2 linked regions of the Oreochromis niloticus genome follow. The protein of the gene in region 1 interacts with the protein of each later gene in a pairwise test. Links are inferred from orthologs where the notes say so. Each region holds a gene or a part of one and is shown on either strand. Other genes may lie near its edges. The genes, in order: lg3h11orf68 and eif4h.

Region 1 (12,003 bases):
TTATTTATGTTACAGCCGGAGAATTGGGCTGCAAGTCGTGACAAAGCCGGGAAGTACAGCTCACAGCTTAAAAGCTGTATATCACAGCCAATCTATAACATAGTCATAACACTTCAGCAGTGAGACACCAACCTCTCCGATGATCACCTTCCAAATACCGTGCTGTTGCCTTGAAAGAAAGCTTCAACAACTACTATGTACGGATTCTTTCAGCCACCCTGAGGATCTGAGTGACAACGACTGATATGTTCAGGTCTACAACAGGAAACTGAGGAAAAAAAGTTCCCAAAAGAAAAGAGAAAGAAAAGAAAAAGCTGCGAGGCCCAAGCTTGTCGTGTCTGCAAAAACGGTGACGACCGCCATTTTTCCTAGTCAAAAATCGAGGGACTGACTTGTTAAAAAAGATCCTCGTTGGATTCTTCTCTACAATAAAATAAAAGTTTCTTTAAAAAAAAAAAAAAGAAGAAAAAGAAAATTAAAACACATAATGTACAGGCTTTGTGTCTCTCGCGGTGGTGGTGGCTCTTATAGCTGGCCGTCAAGGGCGTTTTGGTCAGCAGGCTGCAATGAAGAGTCTCTCTCTCTCCTCTGCTTACAGCAGCTGCCAGAAAAACAACTTAAGAATTTGAAAAATAACATTGAGTGTGTGTGTGTGTTAGAAGAGAATGAGAGAGTGTGTGAGTGTAGCGCTGAGAACGAGCTAAGAGTCATAATCTTCATCGTCGTCGTCGTCCCCGTTCTTGTGCGGTGCAGGGACTGTGGGAGGTGGAGCCATGCTCATCATGGAGGCGTGTGGGGCGAAGGCCACGGTGCCCGGGGGTTGCGTCGGAGCCATGTTGCCCATTGGGACCATGTTGGCCATGTGCATATACTGAGGGGGAGCGTTGGAGCTGTGGGGGCACAGGAACAGGTGTTAACCTCTGAGGAGTCATGTCAAACCAAGTGCATTTTATGCACAAGCTACCTTTTAAATTTAAACATTATTAGTCAAATTAACTGTGCACTAAAAATAATGGACTATTTTTAGAGTTAAATATCCAAAATGAATCTTGATATTTACAGGGAACTCCAGGTACAACTTACTCAACTTGAGGCCAGCAAAGGTTTGGCTATTGATTCTAGTAGGAAAAGAGCGCCCTCTTCCTGTTTTTGGCATAATGTCAGCCACCAGATTTCTCTCTTAACAGGCTGCAGTTACCAGTCATATAGAAATATGCCTTTATGTGCTCTTAATGTGAGACTATATAACTTTTTGAGAGAGAAAAAAAGTTTGCTTGTCTGGAGATTTTCTTACAAATGAAAAGACAAATAGCAGCACCTTAATGGGAGGCACAACACGAAAACAGAGCTGAAAGATTATGTAAAGTAAATTGAGTGTTTATTTCTTGAGATAAGACAGCTTTGAACTCGATTTGCTGCTGATGTAATTACCAACCAATTAGTGCTTCTTCAGACAAGTCTTAAAATGTCATCCCAGTCAAGTGAAAAACCTAGCCTAGTGAGAAATTGCTGATCTACTGGGCTTTTCCTGCACAATTCTCTCCGAGTTTACAGCGAACAGTCCATAATTAGAAGCTGTCCAGTTTGCAGGCAGTTCACTGGACGAAAATGTCTTAGTCAGAGGATAAGGGGCAGACTGCTTTGAGCTGATAAGAAGCAACAACAGCTCAAATAACCACTCGTTATTTGAGCGGACATCTCTGAATGCACAACACATCAAACCTTGAAGCAGATGGGCTACAGCAGAAGACCACACCAGGTGCTGTCAGCTAGAAAAGGAAACTGAGGCTACATTTCACACAGGCTCAACAAAATTGTACAATACAAATGGAAAAACATTGCCCTGATCAGTCTTGATTTCTGCTGTGATATTTGGATGGCAGAGTCAGAATTTGGTGTAAACAACATGAAAGCATCCTGGCTTGTATCTAAAGTTCATTCTGGTGCCATTTTTGTATGGGTGGGGGGTATTATATTGGTACACTTTGTGCTCCTTAGTACCAACTGAGCGTCATTACTAGAGTATTGTCACTAAGCATGTCCATCCCTTTATGGTCACAGCGTACCCATTTCTGATGGCTGCTTCCAGCAGAACAACGCAGCATGTCACAAAGCTCAAATCATCTCAAACTGGATTCTTGAACATGACAATGAGTCCAGTGTACTCAAATGGCCTCTACAGTCACTGCCAGTGGATGTGGGGGAATGGAAGATCACGGATATAGAGCCAAATCTGCAAAGTCGGTATCATTCTTTGATGTCAGTATGGACTAAAATCTCAAGAATGCTTCCAGCATTTTGATGAATCTACGCCACAAAGAATTTAGACTGATCTGAAGGAAAAATGGGGTTCAACCCAGTCATTTGTATCTAATAAACTGGCACGTGAGTGTAGAGTTGTATATGAGGGGGGGTGTCATATTGGGTTTTGAATATTATTATATCTGCTTGTAACAGTGCAATAATGGAATATAGCAATAGAAAATACTTGGAACAGTACTGCAGACATCCCAGACTCCACAAGCCTCTTAATTCTATTCTGTGTTGGCAAATTTGACCAAATTAATAAAGACTGAAATAAAACACATTTCCTACATTCTTGGTTACTTTTCCAAGTACACTATATGGTTATTTACCGTTTTTATTACCATTTTCAATATCACAACCTCAGTTCTCAAGTAAATCAGAATCACAAAGAGTAATTTGCTCTTCAAGCTCTGTAATCAGCAGACTGCAGAAAAGTGTAACCCTAACTGCACCGAGTGAATGGTTGAAGCATAAGTCTTGTGATTTGGCTAGTGGGAAAAGCCTCATACACGTCAGGTCCCTGCTAATCATTTCCCAAATTCATATCCATGGAATTTTTTAATTGTTGTTCCATGATTAGATGAGTCTTCTGTTTTTGCAATGATTTTATCAGATGATATAAGAATCAACTTAAAGTGCTAATTCTGCCAGCTGTGTTGTCTCACAGCTTGAGTGTAGATAAATTGGTGAAAGTGTGCTAGTATAGAATAAATGGGGACGGTATTCTGAAGAGCTTTGAATACTCAGAATACTGAAAACTAGAAATGTACTGTATAAATGCCAGTCCACACCACTCCATGTTGTTCCATAGCAGAGCTCACTCAGGGTGCCAGACCTAACTTGTTTAGTTTATTCTGTAATGTGTAGGTATGTAGACATGTTTATGTTGGACTAAATGTGCGTAAGTAACTACTTGCACCTTTTGCTGTATCGGTTTGCCCTCTTGTGGGTATCATGTAGTGTTTGAATGGCTCAAATGTGTGTGGGTTGTTTATAATGATTCAGCAGTTCTCATGAATTCTATACCATTTTCTGGGCTTCTACCTCCTTTGTCATATGCTGTAAATCACTTTACATCTTGGTATCAGAGAGTCTGTTTTGCAGAGGGAAGAGCAGTGCAAGAGTTTAAAAAACAAAAACAAAAAAACACGCCCTCCCTCTCTCCGAGTCTGCAGTCTGGGAGGATATTTCCAGACACACCGTCTCATGTGGATCTGGACACAAACCTGTGGAACCTGGATGGAGCCTGCAGATGTGTGCTGGACTGAGAGCCGTCCTCGTCGTCTCCGTCTGTCTCGCTGTCTTCACTGTCGTCCTGTTTCCATCACAAGGAAGACAACAGTGAGTCGTCTCCCCTCATACAGACAAACACAATAGACAGGTTCAGGCCTCTACATGTAAATCATCTCACACCTCCTGCTCCGACTCTGTTCCAGATAACTTCTTGTCCTTGCCTTTGGCGCCAGCACCTCCATTCTTGCGACCAGACCCTGGTTTTCGACCTCTGAGGAAGAAAAAAGAATAACCGTGTAAGGAAATGTGATAGTAGTTTAAAGTTTCAAAAGAACGTTTACGAGACAACACATGGAACAGAACATACACTTGGGCTATTATGGACGAGGGAACCAGAAATCATTTGTTTAACTTAGTGCACAAAAATGTTTTAAATGAAAAACATAGTATCTAATGACTTTTCAACTGCTTACAAACACATGTGGCTTTTTTAAAAGCAGAAATCCTCTCCTTGCAACTTTAAGATAACTCCAGAGGAGAACAGTGTGACGCATACTGCTGGTGAAAATTACTCTGAGGCACTTGCTGACACCAAATGTCTAAACATTACAAGTTTTACGACCACTTTGAATTGAATCTGAATCCAATCAGCCGCAGTCTTCAGAGAAAAGAAGCCTTCTCTTACTCATTTAATTCATGTCTAATTGCCCGCCAAGCTCTCCGCTACAAATTAGCTGTGGTGCCGGTGTCTGATCTGACAGTCAATACTGCATTTTCTTGTCTACAATTCCTCAATAATTAATTTTTGCTCTGGCCAACTCTTTCATTTTCTTCTGTTATTTTGGGGGAGATAATCTAGAATCACAAAACTAAAGGAACATAGGAGTACGGTAACACTGCAAGGATTATAGACATATCGCAGCTGTCGGTTCCAATTTACAGCAGTGCTCATTTCCAGAAGAGGAAAAGATAACGTGCACAGATTCTGTCTGTTCGTGCGAATCATTTTTAGTTTAAACCGATGTGCGTGTGTGCACTTATCAGAGCAGACTGAATTACAAACTGCTTAATGAAATAAGTCCAAATTATCTGCAGCTGGATTGGCTGCCTCATATCACCCTGGAGTGTTTTCACTGTGTATGTGAAATACTCCTTCGCTTTCAAAGCATCATGACTCTTTCTCTACATGTTTGGGTGTCTGTGTGAGCAAATATTACCTTCGTGGGACTTTCTCTCCTCCCCCCTCGGTGTGGTTCTCTTCCCCCTCTCCCTGCATGTCTGGCACCGCTGCAACAAGGTCTTTTAAAAAATCAAACTGCTGCTCCAGCTCAATGCATTGCTTTCTGTGAATAAATATGAACAGTTTTCTCCTCAGCCTTACTTGCCAAGTGAAATGTAAGCTCGTATCAAAAAGACAGCAAGCTTAATGGTGTACATACTCATTTTAGCAACACATACAGTCTGAGTCACAGGGAAAGATTGTTTTGGCGGGCTCTGTCTTACACAGGCCAGAAATACTTTCAGATACAAGGGATTCGGCAATGTGCTGCAAATGTGCTCCACAGCACTATCAGGCTCCCACCACACAGTAAATCATGCTGTGTAACAGGATGCCATTTTTTTTGCAAAAGCGGCTCATAATAATTTTCCTTACTTATTTATTTATTTATCTTTTTGCAATGTATAGGGCCAGTCCTTGTCAGTTCATCAAATGCTTTCTCACCTCACCATCTTACCTGAAAAAACATTCCAGGTGGAGGATACACATCCTAAATAGGAATCGTAGAAAGTTTCAGGTCCTGGCTGTTATTAGCTTTCTCAAAAATATTTCAAGGGATGATATTTCCAGGTTTTTAGACATTTTCCAATATCATTTTTGAGGGGCTATTTTAATATGACATTATCTACTTTAAAGTGTTTTAGGCAATTTTTTCTTAGGAAGATGAGAAAGAAAAAAAATTATGCTAGGGAATTATTCAAAAACACTCCTATTTTCAACATTTCACTGAGGATTATTTTCTTGAGTAAACTAATGACTGTGAAGACCTGAAATTTTGCACAATTCCCATTTTGTGAAATTTGATTGAATGAGATGAAAGAACTTTGTACTGTTAAAACTAATCAGAAGAAAACTGACTTAAAATAAGTGTATTGTGTATATTATGAATAATCGTTATTTTTAAATGTGAATCAAGCAAAGCTACTTTAGTAAAGTCCAAGAATGAAATTATCGAGCTGGAAGTTCACCATGAGTCCACTTTAAAAATAAAGAAAATAAAGGCCTGACAGCATTTCAGCCACACTCAATAAAAACAAATACAATTCTATATAAACAACTTTCCCCTTTTCTTCAACTACCTCTTTCTGACCCTAATATACCTGAACAGCATATATCTGAACAGCAGATGGCTTTGCCTTCCTAAGAAGTTCATCTCCAACACAATGCAACACAATGAAGACAAACACAGAACTTACAGATGTGCCGTTGTCATTGTCTTTGCATTCCTAGATTGGGTGACTTGACAAGCCTTTGTAAGCAACGACTCCAAAAAAAGCTCCAGGGCTCTCGCTGATATCTTGGATAAGGGAAGTACAGTGAAGCAGTTGTGTGTTTGAACTTTAAAATCATCAAACATGCAATAATAGACAACTTGACACAACAACACAACAGACTGAGGAAGCATTTTTCTCTAATTATTAATCAGTCTTTGACTTTTACAATTTATCATTCAAGACAAAACTTGCACAGTGACGACTGCAGGCAGAAAGGATACATATAATAACAGGCACTGCTGCAGCCACTTTGCCTATTTCTTCATCTGTCTGCATAATCTTCTTAATCCTTGCCTGAAATGAGAAAAGGTCGATTTTTATGCATGTGTCTACAGAAACGCTTAAAATTTTCTTTTCCTTAAAAAAAAAATCATTTTCAGTGAAAACGCACTGAAATTCAGGGACAACTTAGTAAAGAGTTTGCAGTACACCACATCGAATAATGTGAGGTCCCCACAAAGTAACGGCAATCATTCCTTTTACACTAGTCACGTAGTGTGAGGATTGTAGATACATTATGCAGCTTATTATAATAAAGAATGGATTTATTCACATTTATTTGCGTGCCGCTTAGCCTAGCTTGAGATGCTAAAAACAACGTCAATTAGTAGACCAACTTAAATAGCACGCCTGCTATGTGTGTACACCACCAACTAATGACATATAGGGGATGTTTGGTCACTAACTTCATGAAATCAACTACTTTTCACTAAGGCACGTGCTTTGTAAACTAAATGGTTTGCGAGTGTTAGATGGCTTGTCTGCTCTCTAAGCAACAAAAGAGGCCGAATTCCACTTAAGCTAGTTACAGAACTTAGCTTTCCATGTTACACTTTGCTAACGTTAGCTTGCTTTGACACCGGCTCAGCACAGTTTAAACTTACCGGAGGAAATCTGGCGTTGTATTTCTTCTTTTTGCTGGGCATAATTAAATTACCTGGGTGGCTAAACTAAACTAAAATACAATATATGCTATATTCGTATTCTATTTCATACAGAAATTCGCCTCCACCGCGCACACACCAGATAGTGGTGGCTATCCGGCTAACTAGTTAGCACGTCGTCTTCGTCACTCGTTCCTCGGTGCGGTCAGTTTGTTTCCGCAGGGTCTCCGTGCCGTCAGGTTGGAGCGCATGTTGTTCCGCAAATGCAAAGAAACGAAATACTTTAACGATAGTAATGGAACAGGTTTATTTTTTAAAGCTTAACAAACACAAACACTGATGTAGGAAACTTACATATTTAACATGTACACATACCGAGGAACATGCAAGTTTCTTAAAAGTCGCTGAATCTAGTACAACATAACTTATTTTTATAATTATGTTATAGCAAAACGTAAAAATATATATTTATATCATGTGTTCCATACGGTCGAATTTGTGGACGAGGTACGAAATTTAATTGATGTATAAATAATTATTAGTTAAACTGTCAGCCACCTGAGTGGACTTTGGCTCTTAGATACGGAGGAGCTGCTGTGCTTATGCGGAAGATCAACACTGAACAACAAACTTGGACATCTACGGGTAGAGTAAGCCTTTATGTTCAAAGTTTAACATCGACGTGCGATTATTTACGTTTTAAATGGGAAAACTGTGAATGTTAAAGCGTCAGTTGTATTCAACAGCTGGCTAGAAATGGTTAATGTTTCTCTAAAAGGACGAGCGTGTACATTTATAAAGACTAGCTTGTCGGCTAGCTACAACAAGGCTAAAGCAGTCAGAAAGCTGTTCTACGTGTTCTTTGACATGTCAGCTGTAGGCGGTACACTGGGGTCGATAGCAGCTTTAGTGTGAAACAGAATCAGTGGTAGAGAAACGCTAACTTTCGCTGTTGTAGCAGGCTAGCTATTAGCATTCATAAGCAATTCAGTTGTCCACTTCTGTCGAAGTTTGGCAGGGTTGTAAGCTAATAAATCACAGCAAAGGGGTTGTAAGCTAACACAGAGGCTAAACCAGTGGTTTTTATAAAAATAATAACTGCATTCTTCAACTCAACAGGAAGGCTTCAGAACTTGTTTACTCGTGTAACTGCTATACCATTATGGAGGAAGAAGAGGGCCCTGTTGATGGCGAGATGAGGACCCCCTTTGCTGCAGAGACCTACGCTGCTGAAGCCATGGCTGCAGACATGGACCCCTGGATTGTTTTTGACTCTAGAAGAACTCCCAGATCCGAGTTTGATGGCTGGTTGGAGAGTAACCGGCCCTCCCAAGTGTCCAGATTTGGAGACGAGGAGGGTGGCGTCAGCCCTGTGGGGTGGATTGCTGTGGTGGGCCCAAACCACTGCCCCAGTGGTGCGGATGTCACAGGACTCCAGGAGAGTTGGGAGAAACTTTTGGCGAGTTCCCGGCCTGTCACCTTCCAGACAGTGAGGGAGCTGGCCCTGAACCATAGGGTACTCTCAGGCAAGTGGCTTATGCACTTGGACACTGGTTTCAAGTTGGACCATGCTTGGGAATGTGTGGCCAGAGCAGCCCTAGATGGCAAGATCTCACTCGTTAAAGTCACCCCATTTGACCGCAAGGCAGAGGGCAAGCAGGTCATTTGTGCCTATAACCAGAACTTCACTGATGAGAATGAGGTCATAAGGCTGGATTCAGTCATTCGTGCCACAGGGGTCAAATGCCCTCTCTCCTACAAGCCAGATGTGTATACATACCTGGGAATCTATCGGAACAACCGCTGGAATGTTTGCCCCACCATATACGAGAGCAAGTTCGACCTGGAGTGTGTGCCCAGGCGTTCCCACATCATCAACAAAGTTACCAATCTTGAGGTAACATAAGCTACTCAGACCAAGAGAGGAGCTTTGCTGTAACAGTATGTGAAGAGGTGCGTGATGATCCCAGGAGATGGGTTGGACAGTACAGTCCTCTGCCTGCAACTATTTAGAACATCATTGGTTGAATTCTGATCACAAGTTCTTCCTTTTTTTTTTTTTTTTTAGAAAACCCCCCCACTAAATTTGTCTCTTTTTGTGTTGTAAAATTTTCTGAATGACCTGAAACACTTTGATTTTTTTGTATTGAAAATATTGTATACATAAGCAAGAATAGTAGTACTAACAAGATTCTAACAGGCTCGAGTGACGGGAAGAAGACTAACGTCCTTGATTTGTATGCACATTTTCAGAAGATCCAGTGAAGCACTCCTTGTTGCTATTTTACATTTGTCTCTTGCGTTCGGCTTTATTTTTTTTTCCTTTGTACTGTATAACAGTTACAGAGTTGCAAAGTAAAATATTCTTTTGAAAATCATCTTTATACGTTGTGGTATTTATTGCCAAAACAGTGTTTTGAATGTTGACAAAGTTAGTCTCATTCTCAAAAAAAAAAAAAGCACAATTATAGTACGATCCACTTTCATAATACATGTAAAAACATAATTACATTTCAGTAAAGCACCTTACTGCAGAGTATAGCAAGTCTGAAACAGTTGAGTTAAAATGCAGCCATTACTGATAAAATAAGTGTAGAAAAACTGATTACAGAGCAGTGGAAACTATTACCAGATAAAAAGCACAATCTCTAGTATAAGCACGTATATAGTAATGTTGCTTGTTTGATAAATGTACACCTTCATTTTGTTTCTAGAACATTCAGATAGTTTGTGTTAACCTTCAGAAAACAACGGTGCAATCCAAAGAGATGATTTTTAAGAACGGACATAATCTGTGTAGACTTACCTCTAGATCTGATTACATATATACGAACCCTTTTGTATAAAGACAAAAAAAGAGAAAAGCTGCACATTTTTGTGGCTACAGCTAGCAAAATTGTTCAAATAACAGTACAAAAACATGCTTAACATGTTCCAAAAATAATCACCACACCGGATACCTTTATCAAAGTACCCATGCTGTCTGTCTTCTTAAAACATTCGCTGGAGAATCTGTCTCCACCATCAATATGTTGACAGTGACCTAAACATTTAGTCACAGATGCTGGACATGGGTTTCACAGGGCATGAAATCTGATCACCTACATTATGGGTTTTGTAATTTATCAGACAAACTATATGACTGGGCAAGGCGTCAGACTGAATACCATAAAGTCATTGCTGGTATTTTAAGAAGTGTGTCCACAGTGAGCAGTGCTGCTACATTCGGTCTCCTGCCTACTTCCTTTTTTGCCTTACAATAATAAAGAAGTTTTAGTCCTGATGGCCACAGGGGAAGATACAACTGGTCTTTGGAAAAATGAAACAAACTTTAAGTCGGGTGTCCTGACACAAACCCAGCTTGGCTTCCACTGTTAAAAATGGAAATAAGACGGTCCTCATCTGCAGACATCAACTCATCGAAGTCTTCGAGCATTTGGTTGTTATTGGGTCTGCTGTCTGTCATGATTTCGTTCTGGAGCAGATGCACGATGCTGTTGGGGTAATTCATCCAAGTGCTTCCTGGAGTGCTGGCAGGGTCAGAAGTGTTCTGAGGTGCTGCACTAGTCTGGGCAGCGGTAGAGGAGGCTGAAGGGCCAGTCTGATGACATGAAGGATGATTTACACCAACAAGCTGGGGGTTCAGAAGATCCTCCAAGTCATCCATGTTGAGGCTGTCCAGGTTGACTGGGACCTGGCCTTCAGTGAAGCTAGGGAAATCTGGGATATCGTCATCCACAAGTGTTGGGTCCGCCCGGAACTGAGTGCTCTGGAGGGCGAAGGAGTTGCTTGTCTGTGAGGAGGCCAAGTTTATTTGAGAAGCTGAGGGCTCCTGCTGGGTGATAGTCGAGGAAATGTTGGGGAAGAATTCATGAAGATCTGACAGGTTGACCGTTGAGTAGTCCTGATTGGAAGTGGAAGCGATGGTAGAGGAGACGGTGGCCGGTGATGGGTTCATTGAAAAGCTAGACACTGGGTTTGCTTTTGGTTGGGAGCCCAGGCCTGTCATCTTCCACTGGTTGGTAGGAGCTGCTGACATGTTAGAGGCTTCTACCTTTGTCTGCTCTGAAAATAGCTGGCCAGGTTGGAAGTATTGGGTATGTGATTTTGCCCCAAGGGGACCAGTAGGCACCACAGCTGCTGCAAACACAAACAAGTGATTTGAGAACTCACTGCAGAAAATCCTTCTCACATATTTCACATACACAAAGTTCACCGCTAATGACTCAACTGCCTTAAGAAAGGAAGATGAGGAGATGTCTGTATGTCTTCAAATGAGTTCAAATAAGGAAGGAACATCTGAAACAGACTCACCAGCTTGTGGAGGCTTGGCTGTCAGCTTTCTCCTTGATGGGTTTAGGTGCTGTCTATCTTGTGGAGTGGTCACTGAAATGTCAGAAGACGTGTTTATAATACCGTGCAGTTACAACAGTGTAACCATTATCCAATTACACTATGCTCAGCTGACAGAAAAAAAAAAAATCTTATCAACGTACCACTAGATAGCAAGGGCCCTAGCTTCAGGTTCTGGAATATGTCTCCTGTCCGCTTTCTCTTCTCACTCAGCCTGTATTCATCTGCAGGGGTGGAAATGATAAAGTTTAAATTTGAGAAATGATACACATACTCAGTACATTTTCCCGCATATAATGTCTTTTACCTGGATCTGATGGCAGGTACTGGAAGTCCATTGGCTCACTGACTTCTCGATCAGAGGGCCGCCGGAGCTGCATCTTGACTCTCACTGGCTCAGTGAGGTTAGTGTCACGATAGGGCGGTGTGCGAAACACAATGGCCACCTGCCTGTGGACATCAGCCTGGGAGAAAGTGCCCTTCCCCTCCCAGGAGTCTTGGAAGAAACGCACCTCGATGTCCTCTGCAGGGGAACAGAAAATGGCAAATGTAACAACATACTGCAGCTGGTGATGAACTCAAAAAGAATAATCAGATAATCGGGCACTAACTCGCCAGCTTCGGTGCAAAAGCAGATCTGATGTTTTTGATTAACAGAGAAAAGACCCCGGGG
Region 2 (12,440 bases), on another chromosome or scaffold:
AAAAAAGTTTGTAGGGTGAGGAAATTTTCCTGCCGTCCCATTGGCCGCAGCCCAGCTGGCAGTGATCTGATTGACCGCTGGAACGCGATGCTGTCCAACCTGAGCTGCTGAACTCTCTGACCGCACCTCCTCCTGGCTGGTCGTAGAAGTCCTCACGGGAGTCGCGTCCTCCTCCTCCTCTGGGAGCTCCTCGAGAGCCTCCTCGTCCTGCAGAGGACACGGGGCAGTTTAACACTGAGGGGGGAGGGGGGAGAGGAGGAGAGGAATTGAAATGAAAGAAAACAGAGGAGGTGGCAGCACCTCCTGCTGGGAGGGGCTACACTAGAGAGGCGGAGCTTGTTAGTGGTCCATCAGCCAATCGGGTTAGAGAGAAGCAGCAGCAGCACTCTGAACACCGAAGAAGGTGAAAGGTCAGCAGGAGGAGGCGTCAGGTGGCCTCCACCTAACTGCAGGTGACTATGACCAGCAGGGAGGTGAAAGGAAAAGGGGACGTGTCTGTGGAGGTGAGGATGAAGAAATGAAGCATGAAAGATGAAAAGTCCTCCTCCTCAGAGTCACAGGGCAACATCAAACATGCTTCGTCTGCGTTTCCTTGAAGGCTGGACTTAAATCTGAATCAGATTCAACCGGCGCCCGCTTCCAGACGGCGCCTCCAGCACACGTCAGGACCTCTCCTCCCTTTTCCTACGCCCTCATCACTTATCCTAACCACCTTTTCTTGGCCTTGATCAAGGAAACATGGTTAGGAACAGTCCCAGCACCACATGACCTCCCTGATACATTACAGTTTGGGGCGTGTCGCGAGCAGACCCCGCCTCCTGGTAGCTTAACTTGTTCAACTTTATTCATAAAGTGCTAAATTACAACAGCAGCAGCCCCCAGATGAGCACTGGACAATAAATCAGAGGAAACACCAACAAACACTTGAAGCTTCTACTAACGTCTGCTGGAGCTATCGTTTGGGAACGGGCGCCATCGAGCGGGGATGCCCTGTCCTGCATCCTTAACTGACCAATCAGCACAGACTAGCAGAACACTGATGATTTATGGGCAAATCAGCTGCAGAAAAATGTTTTGGTGAAAAATTTGGTGAAAACTATTTTAGCCGCTCCAGGTCACTGAGGAGCACCTCAGAGCTTTCCCGTTTCTAAAAGCACGTGTCATGTTCTCTAGGATTTAAACCTTCCTACCACGTTAGCACTCTTCTTCTCTGCTCGTACCTCTACCGTCGTCTTTCCTGAAGCCGAAGCCGCCGCCGCCTCGTTCTTGCCTTCGTCCCTCTGCGATGTCCACCCTCAGTGACCTTTCACCTAATAACTGGAGGTCAGAGTTCCTGTCAGACAAGACGGCAGCGTGGCAGAACCAGAAAACGTCGGGTTTATTAAATCAGATACTCACGGCGCCGTCGTATGTCAAAGCTTCTTTTAGAGATTCCAAATCATCAAATTCAACATAACAAAAACCTGAAAGAGATGCAAACAGTCAGACAGGAAGTTTCACCCGAGGCGAACTTCATCATCCCCGACACCCACACCCCATCCGAACCTTTGAACTTGTCTGTCTCTTTGTCTCTGACCAATCGGACGCTGCGGATGTTGAGCTCTTTGAAGATGATGTCGATGTCTCCCTGCACCGTGTTGAATGGCAGGTTTCCCACGTACGCCGTGAACGGAGGCTCTGTCGGCAGCTCCTTCTGCTTCCTGGGGCCTCCGGGACCGCTGCCGCCACGGGGCCTGATGGGAGGGGGGACAGAGGATCGTCAGACAGGTACACAAGTAAAGAGGATTGTGGGATATAGAGCTCAGACTGGAGCAGAGTTAAAGACAACTTTCCACACGATAAGTTCACTGGTCTTCCAAACTGGGAGTGCTCGCTTAAGAGCCTAAACAGGAAGTGGCGGGGACAGAAACACCTAAAAGCTGCCCTCGGCCCCGTGATGCGTTCCCAATGACTTTATGAGCTCGGTCGCTCGTTCACGGTCGTTTCGTGAAACGGAAGGACAGCCTGACAAATCAGACGATGCAGTCGGACGATACTGGCTCTCTGTCGATCTCGTTAATGAAAATGATCAATAAATGAAGATTAAAAAAAGAGACCGGAGAAACATCCTGAGTGTAAACAAGTAAATAAATTACTACATATGACAAATGTTGGAAATCTGTCTGAAAGGAAAAACGATCAGCTGATATCCAAATACTGTAGTTTGATGAATGATCAGAAATAATCTCAATAATCTCACAAATCCACCAGATCTTAACTTTACATTTTACACACATTTTTAAAGCATTTCAAGTTGCTATGCATCAATACAACCCTTATATGTCAAACTTTAATAATGTCTGTAAAATGTCCACTGTAATTACACACATTATTTAATAAGTGGAATAAACCAATAAGAAATATCAAAACTGTAAGAAAGAAAAGTTGCACACAATAGTTTCCAACCACAGGAAATATGTGAGTCTTCATAATTTCATTTTTGAGACTCATTTTTATAAACTGACTAACAGACAGCACGTGCATCAAAATAAACTGTTTCCAGTGTTCCACTTTTCAACAGCACCAGTGGAGCTTTGATAGGCTTTGGTGGAGGAAAAAAGAAACTACAGTTCCTGCAAAAATGACATCACTTCCTGTTTTCACAGCTAAAGGCGCACATGAAACCACACGACAGTTGATGCTCACAACGTTATGACGTATGCTCCAACGTAGGAAGTGCAGGAACAGCTGATCAGATCACAAAGCGTGCGTCTGGAGTGGTTTTTTGTGATTTCTGCAAACCCATTAGTGGAAGCAAACAGCGGTCTGGGACATGTTGAATGTGTGATATGTAATGTAAGTGCACATCTTCAGTTTTATATCCATTTATAGGAATTATTGCTCTAACTTATTATTATAACGGGTAAATCTGCAGATTTCCACCAACTGAACAACAAAAATAATCAAGGACTCATAACTGGAAATTATGACGCTTCAAAGGTCGGGAGTGGTGTGTTTATGATGCCGGTAAATGTGTGTCCTGTTGGGTTCTTATCGGGTAAAGAACTCCAAAAATGAGAGAATATTTCCATCTGCTCGACATGCTACCGCATGCCTGCCAGTGTAGATCTGTGTGTTTCAGAGCAGCTGGTTTAATCCTCTGTAGCCACTCAAACTTTGAAACAATTATAAACCACAAATCCGATTCAAAACTCTGAGCCACTTGGTTATCGCTCTGCTGTGTGCTGCTCCACCCTGCACCTGGATCGCTGCTCCTGGATCACTGATGGAGCTCTGATGAAGCAGGAACACAGCCAGAGGAGCTCTGAAAGTGCAGTTTGGGGTTTAAATGTAGGAGCTGATCACTGCAGCGCGTCAGCCTGCTCTACATGAACAAAGTCAGCCAGCTTGGCTCCTGCTCGCTGCTATTTGGAGTTGGATTTGCATCCATCGCTGACCGGTTGTTGTTGCTATGATACAGACGCGCAGCTAAAATCAGGCGTTGCATATAAAACATGCTGGCAAAGGAAAAGCACCGGCACTGTTTGAAGTGTTGTGGTTTGATCAAACTGAGGCTTTCTCGGACTGTTTGGCCTGACCACAGAAGGACCGCCCACCCCCACAGGCCCACTATCAGCCTCCAGCATTCGTCCTAACACAGCATCTTTGAAGTGAGTGCTGCAACACTTTATATTACGCAACCACCACAAAAAGCCCTGAACATGAGTGATGACCTGATGACCTTTGTAATAAAGTATAATAATAAAGTAATAAAGTATTTCAGACAGGGTTCCCCTGTCAAGCTGAAACAGACCCTCACCGTGGAGCAGTTTTCTCTCACAGTGTCTGTGAAGGTTCTCAGTCATCCAGGTCATCGTAGTCTAAGGAGCTTGGAAAGAAAAGCGTCTGGACTTCTTTAAGTTGCTTGAAGACGGTTCACCTCTCATCCAAGAAGCTCGCCCCCAAGCTCCTTAGATTTCTCTCACAGTGTTTCCACATTCACACGCCAAAAGTGTTACCTTAAACTGCCTGCAGGAGTCGTTTAAACTGAAGCAAAGATTTGTGCTGCTCCCACACACCACCTTTTCTCCTTAAACACAGCAACAGCAGAGAAACTGATGAAGCTTTAAATGACTTGTTGGAGGCTTTGTTACAGGCTGCCAGCAGCAGCAGCATCTCCCAGTAGCAGACATGCCAGCCACATGCAGAACACCACACCTTCTACTAGCTTTGGCTTCAAAATAAATGGGATATCTGGAAACTGGGACTCGTTTTCCCAGATACAGATTTAATATAAACAACATAAATCTAATAATAGACGTTTGGTTCTTATAGATTCTATTTAGCTTCTTTATGAACCAGTAAAAGTCTGACCTACTGACATGGAGCCAGCTGCTAACCTCTTGAAGCAACAGTCTGGATTCAGATCTGAAATCAGCCGTCTAACACCCTCAAACAAAGCTTCATGCACTCACAGTCCGCTCTGCCTCATTTTGGAGCCATCAGGAGATCGTCCTAAAAAGAGTTATACATAAATCTTTCACTTGTATTACAAAAAAGCCCCACAGACAGAGGTCCAATAACGTTCAGGACAGCGGTGCAGAGCGACCAGAAGAACAATCAACATCTGGAGCTCTGCTCCCTCCCTGCAGGACTACAGCACCCCCTACTGTTTCAAACACAGACAGACTTCAACATGTGCCGACATGGACCTCGGTGCTCTGAGAAGATGCTCAAGCAGAAGCTAGGACAGTTTGATTTACCGGATATTACCTTCACCCAGTTCAGTCTGGTTTCTGTTTGATGTATTGTCTTTGCAGGGGTCAGCCACTCAATCTGCCCAGACTCCTTCAAACTCTACAGCCTCCCCTGCTCCAATGGAAGCATGCAATGAGGGGAATTCCCTCCACTCCTAAAATATAGACTTCAGCCCCAACGTTTTCCCCTCTCATCAGATTCAGCTCCTGACAGAACAACTGATGAAGAAAAGCAGCCCCGTAACTCTTCATCAGTCTCTAAACTTTGATTAAAATTTGATTCGGTGCTCCCGAAGAAACAGAAATAAAGACGTGCTGAAACAATTAATCGACCAAAAATTAATCTCAGCAAACTTTCGGCAAAAAAAAAAAAAAGAAAAAAAAGAAAAGAATTCTGATAATCCGTTCATGAAGTCTGTGATAAAGGAGAGAACATCAGTCCGATCTTCTCACAGGTGACTCCTGCCTGTGCTGATATTAAAGCTTTGTGTGCTGCAGACATCCCGAAGCCCCCTCCCTCCACGAAAAAAAAACACTGTTTTTTTTTTATTTTTTATCGTTTATCAGCAATCAGATAACAACATGCAGTGCCACAGAGCGGAAAACAACCGCTGACCTGACGGTAACCGCATCTACCGGCTCTAACCGACTCCCACTCTCAGCTCTGACTGCGACGTGGATGAATGTGCAGCAGGGGACACATGATGCAGCCATGCGGGCAGCCTGCAGCTCCGCCACCGCCTCCACCTGAACCTGCTGCGGCCTCCTTCCCCGCCGGTCGCCCCACCGCCTCACAACCACACACGCTGAGTGGGTATCTGTACCGCCAAGCTGCGGGGCGATCCACGCCACACTGGAGAGCCTGTTCTTACTGTCTCCATCTAGCTAGCCGCTCGCTAACCGTTAGCATGTTAGCTACGAGACCGCGGTGTTTCCCGGCTGATATCTCCGGGATACCCTCACGCATGCTCGGCCTGTTCAGTAACCGCGGGGCGTGTCGAGCTCCGGGGCCTAGACAGCCTGCTCCCCTGACTCGGGGCGGACAGCAGCGGGAAACACGGCGACGGTCCGGTCGGGTTTGTTCTTCGAGGACACGACATAGCTGCCGTGCGCGGTGGAAACTCACCCTCTGCCGCCGCCGAAGCTGCCGTAGGCCCGGTCCCGTTCATCGTAGTTGTCGTAGTCCGCCATTACTGCTGCTTGTGTGTTGGAGGAGGAGGTCCTACACGTCACACACACAGCGGGTTTAGCTGCCCGCAGAGCGCCTGACCGGTAAAATCACACACTAACTTCTTTTTTACTAATTATGTTTTTTTTTAAGTCAGTTTGAAATGAAATATTTATAATATAAGTAATGAAAACACAGCACGAACGTGGAAAACACACGAAACTAAATTGAATTGTTAAAATGAATGGAAAATACAAAGTAAACAATAGAAACAGTTGTTAAAATGTCATAATCCTGAAGCCAATAAATGTTTGGCCCATTGTTGTCTTTGGATGACACCACTGACTCCGTTTAAATCATGTGGCCACACCTCACCACAGCTCTGTCTGTCCCTCACGTCATTTACAAAATGTTAGCCCAGATGCTTCTCTGTCTGAGAAACTGATAAAACACACAAGGTCTTTGAGACAAAAGATCCTTTTTTCAAAAGTCTTTCTGTTCATAAGCAATACTGTATTTTTGGTGTAGTGATATGAATAAAGCATCTACAGTTGTGGTCAGACGTCTTTATCCTTTCATTGTAATGTCGGAGTAATTTTGGACTTTTAATGATTTATTTGGCCAGTTCTTTTCCCAGGCTGGAATGATTGTACACTACACATCTTTAAATGTATTTTCTCTGTTCCACACAGGTGCAAAGTCAGACAAATACTTTAATAAATGGTGCTGAAGTCTTAACTTCTGTCTAGTGAGAAAGTTCAGGGAACATTGTGAAGGTCTAAGAAGGACAACTGCAGATTTATACAAGTTAAGAAAGTCTTTAGGAGTAATTTCTGAACAGCTGCAGACTCCAGGACATTTGTATGTAAGTTATTCTGATGTTTCAACACTTTGCCAAGATCTGGAAGAATATCCGAACTTGTCACCCTCCATTGAGAGGAAACTGGGTAGGATGTTCAGGGGCAAGCCTGCAGAAAGGTGGACACCCAGTTTTACATCATCATGGACTGAGAGGATGCTGACCCAGAAACAAGCCCCCGCTCTAACATCAACACCTGCAAGCTCGACTGAAATTTGCAGCTGCCCACATGGACGAATCAAATACTTCTGGAGAAAAGACTGATGGTCAAAGAACGAAGGACAAAGACTGAGCTGTTTGGTCAAAATAACAAGAAGAATGTTTGGAGGAGTAAAGGTAAGGCCTTCAAACCTAAGAACACTGTACCGACTGTCAAGCACGAGGGTGGTAGCGTCACGCTGTGGGGCTGTTTGCTGCCAGTGGTTCTGGTAGACTGCACACAGGGGATGGTATAATGAAGGAGGAGGACTATCTCCAAATTCTTCACCTTCACCTCAAACTAACAGCTAGACGGTAGAAACTCTGACACAGTTGGTTTGTGACGATGACTCATCGGAACTGGTTTTGGACAAAGCAGGCCAACATTTAGCTTCTGAAATGGCTTTCCCAAAGCCCCGACCTCAACCCTGTCAAGAATTTGTGGACTTTAAAGCTGGGTCTGTAACAGAAAACCAACTAATTTAAATTAACCCTGCCATTTCTGCCAAGAAGAGCGTTCAAATATCCAGACAGGTGCACGTATATTATGACCCTGTGTGAATGGAGGAAAACACCAAATAAACTTGTTTTTAAAAATGATTAAACATGCTGTGAAATCATTCCAGCCAGGAAAGAAAACAGGGAGCCGCCCCTCCCTGAGCCTGGTTCTGCCGGAGGTTTCTTCTTGATAAAACTGAGTTTTTCCTCCCCACTGTCGCCAAAGTGCTCACTCACAAGGGTGCGTCTGTTTATTGGGGTTTTCTCAAATTACTATTACTGTAGAGCTTTAACTTACATTATAAAGTGCCTTGGGACAACTGTTGTTGTGTTGTTGGTGCAATATAAATAAAATGGAATTGGATTAAAACAGTGACAGTTAAGATATCTGTTTAGACTTTACTTTGTAATACACGTTTAGTGCAGTATAACGTTGTAAAATTATGGCTCAGTTCTCTGGGCTTGGGTTGAGCCTTTTTTCAGACTAAAATTGTTTTCAGTGGAGATTGAACTTTTCTGTTACTTTAGGAATGGGCTTAATCCATGTCTGGGAAACACGTGGTAAATGATGGGTCGTTCAGGCCCCTTCATGTCGCCCTCTGGGGCTGTCCAGTCAGATCTGGCACTGGAATATTGGAAGCAGATCCAATCGTGCAAAAGTTTGACCACACTAGTATCTGAAAAACGTTCCTCAAATATTTTTTGTGGGGATCTGTTCTGCTGATGGAGGTAGCTGCTGTTGGGCCCCGTTCTTCTGCAGGAGGATATGGTTGAACATCTAATCACCACTCCCATCAGTGGTCCTCATGCTGAGCTTACACAGTTTTAGACAGAACAACAAACAATAACCTGAAAAAATGGAAAATACCAAAAATAATGTAAATCTTCTTGGCCATGAATTTTTATTAGAAAATAGACTAAAACCTTTCAGCAGTAGAAGCTAAACTACACAAGATATCTGACTAAGCACTCAAATACACATAAACAGCACATTCAGCTACAGTGTGAGAGAAGTTACCTCATCCACAGTGAAATTCATGCCAACACTGATGATTATGTTTCTGTAATCACCCATAAAGTGTTTGGATATGTATAGGTTTATGTGTAACAGATATCCAAATGTTCATTACATGAAACAGCCCAGCTCATGTTACAGCGCTCTCGCTAACTGCCTCCCATCAGGTTACCAGCTGCTGAGCAACATTTAGCATTTAACTCAGAAACTTCAATTACAACAAACATGGCAAGTTTTGAAAATAGTACGTTACAGTTAAAAAGTTAAGTTATTTGATGACAGGCACAGTGAAAAGCAGTGAGTGGTTAAAAACGAGCGTTGGGTGCTGTAGAGGTAGCCCAAGTCCACCTGAGCTTTGTCTTAGGAGCTGAATATTGCTTCAGTCTCCTCTGCGATCTCCTCCAGGTTCGGTGACGGTGGGTCGCTCTCCTGTGGAGAGATTCTGGATCTACGCTGTCGCAGTTCACTGGGCGGGGCTTCCCCATTCCCAGGAATCATGGTCTTTCCCAGAGACTGCAGGCATAGAACACGATACTAAACTGTGGCAAACCAAACTGTGAGACAAACCATCATGTGACAGTCTGTTAACTTCGATACCTGGTTCTCAGCCAGAGCCTCTTTAGCCATGTAGTGCTCCCTCTTTATCTTCATCTCCACCTCTTCGGACACATCAGGAACCATCAAATCTATTAAGCGGCCGATGAAGAAGACCACGTGCTGAGGAAGAAAAATGGGACAAGTCTTCAATGTGCGGACTGCCGATCAGCAGTTCACAAGCTGCTTGGGGTTCAGTGAAGTCTGAGAGACACTGACCTCGAAGATGATGACGAAACCAAGCTGTATAGCGAGGAGGTGGAAGTACTCTGGCAGGTATTCACCGTTTTCATCCCTGAAACCACGATACCTGTGTAAGATAACCACACATCGATCACCTGCAGTAGGTACTGTGCTACTCATCCACAGCAGGTAGCTTCTTCTTTCACGTGGCACAGTTTCACTCCCGATACGTTTCGGACACAAACCCAAAAGCCTCTGTCTCTCCTGCTGGGATTTAACGGCGGAGCACTGTAAACCACTACATTATGGCACCACCAGCATTTTAAATTTACAGAATAAATAAAATGAGCTGCAGTAAACATTTAGACACTTGACAGAGTTTGGAAGGCTCTCTGGTTCATCTACAGCACTCGAAACTTCAACAGCAACAGTGAATTTGTTTTCAGGATTTTGTTCCTACCAACCAAATGTTAAATGAAAGGTGACGTCACAGATGTCGAAATGACGTCAAGATTAGGTTGTCAAATACAAACATAAAAAGTTGTCTGCTGGCTCTCTTCCACAGCGTGTCTTTGTCCTGTCTTCCTCATCTCACCCCAACCGAGCCGCCCCTGGTTTTGCTGGAGGTTTCTTCCTGTTAAAAGGGAGTTTTTCCTTCCCACTGTTGCCAAAGTGCTTGCTCATAGGGGGTCATATGATTGTTGGGTTTTCTCTGTATGTACAGGGTGGGCCATTTATATGGATACACCGTAATAAAATGGGAATGGTTGGTGATATCAAAGTCCTGTTTGTGGCACATTAGTATATGTGAGGGGGCAAACTCCTCAAGATGGGTGGTGACCATGGTGGCCATTTAGAAGTCGGCCATCTTGGATACAACTTTTGTTTTTTCAATAGGAAGAGGGCCATGTGACACATCAAACTTATTGGTAATGTCACAAGAAAAACAATGGTGTGCTTGGTTTCAATGTAACTTTATTCTTTCATGAGTTATTTACAAGTTTCTCTTTGTTCACAGCCATTGACATGTCGAAGAGGTTAACACGTGAGGAGTGGATCGAAATTGTGTTGATATCTGGTGAACGCAGTAACCGGGTCATTGCAGCAGATTCCAATGCAAGACACCCTACGAGACCACCCATCTCCCATGCTACAGTCAGCAAACTGCTTGCTAAGTTTCATGAAACTGGTTCAGTGTTGGATTTACCAAAATGTGGATGCAAGAAAACTGTCACTAATGAAGAAACATCAGTGGCTGTCCTAGCTGCATTCAGCAAGAGCCCACAGCGTAGCACTCTCCGCATGTCACTGGAGAGTGGCATTAGTCGAACATCCCTTCGGCGGATATTAGCTACTCACAAATGGCACCCTTACAAACTCCAGCTACTGCAGCATCTCAACGAGGATGACCCAGATCGGCGCACAGAATTTGCAGAATGGGCAAAACAAAAAATGGAACAGGACCCTCAGTTCACGCAGAAGATTTTGTTCAGTGATGAGGCAAACTTTTATGTGAATGGTGAAGTTAACAAACAAAACCACCGCTATTGGTCTGACACTAACCCACATTGGATGGAGACTGTTGGAAGACTGTTGGAACAACAAAAGTGATGGTTTGGTGTGGTATATGGGGTACAACGATAGTGGGTCCATTCTTCATCAATGGAAACCTCAAGGCCACTGGATATTTTAAATTGCTTCATGATGATGTGTTTCCCTCTTTATGCACTGAAGCTGGCACGTTCCCTGAGTTTTTCCAGCAAGATGGTGCACCACCACATTATGGGTGCCAGGTCCCAGCATTCCTAGATGAACAGTTTCCTGGAAAGTGGATTGGTCGTCGTGGGCCAGTTGAATGGCCCCCAAGGTCTCCCGATCTGACCCCCTTAGACTTTTATCTTTGGGGACATCTGAAGGCAATTGTCTATGGTGTGAAGATACGAGATGTGCAGCACCTGAAACTACGGATACTGGATGCCTGTGCTGGCATTTCTCCTGCAGTGTTGCTATCAGTGTGTGAAGAGTGGGAGAAGAGGGTTGGATTGACAATCCAACACAATGGGCAGCACATTGAACACATTTTATAAGTGGTCAGAAACTTGTAAATAACTCATGAAAGAATAAAGTTACGTTGAAACCAAGCACACCATTGTTTTTCTTGTGACATTACCAATAAGTTTGATGTGTCACATGGCCCTCTTCCTATTGAAAAAACAAAAGTTGTATCCAAGATGGCCGACTTCTAAATGGCCACCATGGTCACCGCCCATCTTGAGGAGTTTGCCCCCTCACATATACTAATGTGCCACAAACAGGACTTTAATATCACCAACCATTCCCATTTTATTACGGTGTATCCATATAAATGACCCACCCTGTATTATTGTAGGGTCTACCTTACAATATAAAGCACCTTGAGGCGACTGTTGTTGTGATTTGGTGCTGTATAAATAAAACTGAATTGTCTTTGGATCTCATTGAACACACATCTAGAAAAAAGGCTTCCACCCATTTCAATATAAACCCGTTTAACCACCTGTGGTGTTCCTGCAGACCTTGGGCAGGTCCATCGTGACTTCCATGGTGAGACGCAGACCATTCAGTCCACGAACGCTGATCATGACAACCACTGTGTGTTGTGATCATGTGGGACCAGTAAGTCTAATATAATCTACTTTCAGTCCCACATTAGCTGAATGTAATTCAGCCACCCCTGTGTTAGACAGAGCCCAGTTTTAGCCCAAACATTACTTAGTCAGGGGAAATGTGCACCTACAAATAAATGATATTCCTGTTCCATTATGTGTCATATGAAGAGTCTATAACGTGGCTAATGACCAAAGAGGATGAATAAAGATTAAGTGTTGAGCTGGCAGTGATGAGCTCATAAGTGCTCATCACTGTGCTATCTACTGTACAATATGAAGCGCCTTGAGGCGACTTTTGTTGTGATTTGGCGCTATATAAATAAAATTGAATTGAATTGAAATGAATAAGTATGACACACACTTGTGTCTCAGTGTTAAAATTATGTGCGTTTATTTAAAGATGTGGCTGCTGACGTTGAGTTAAAAGAATCAGGACACTTTGCTATCGTGTTTTAGATCTCTAATCAAAGTTCTTTCTTTGAAAACTTGACATTTCACCTTTGAGCCCAATCTCAAAGCTGCTGAGATGCCTGGTCTTGTG

What was found.
Region 2: the proteins of lg3h11orf68 (region 1) and eif4h interact in binary tests that used the Homo sapiens proteins (3 or more experiments, as listed by UniProt). The two-hybrid records come from large-scale screens. The link is inferred for Oreochromis niloticus from reciprocal best matches to the Homo sapiens genes C11orf68 and EIF4H.

What each region holds. Positions count from the first base shown.
Region 1 is NC_031967.2:4,878,051-4,890,053, reverse strand, and holds lg3h11orf68 (UPF0696 protein C11orf68 homolog), read left to right. Parts: upstream 1-7,468; 5' UTR 7,469-7,622; exon of another isoform or gene 7,623-7,627; intron 7,628-8,096; 5' UTR 8,097-8,139; coding exon 8,140-8,883; 3' UTR 8,884-9,355; downstream 9,356-12,003. Other genes in the region: drap1 (dr1-associated corepressor), read right to left, coding at 701-890, 3,534-3,622, 3,721-3,811, 4,758-4,883, 6,016-6,109, 6,315-6,387, 6,978-7,019; rela (transcription factor p65), read right to left, coding at 10,309-11,117, 11,292-11,363, 11,474-11,554, 11,638-11,853.
Region 2 is NC_031979.2:40,135,610-40,148,049, forward strand, and holds the start of eif4h (eukaryotic translation initiation factor 4H), read right to left. Parts: upstream 6,020-12,440; 5' UTR 5,928-6,019; coding exon 5,863-5,927; intron 1,734-5,862; coding exon 1,546-1,733; intron 1,464-1,545; coding exon 1,399-1,463; intron 1,318-1,398; coding exon 1,221-1,317; intron 208-1,220; coding exon 100-207; intron 1-99. UniProt on the Homo sapiens protein: Stimulates the RNA helicase activity of EIF4A in the translation initiation complex. Binds weakly mRNA.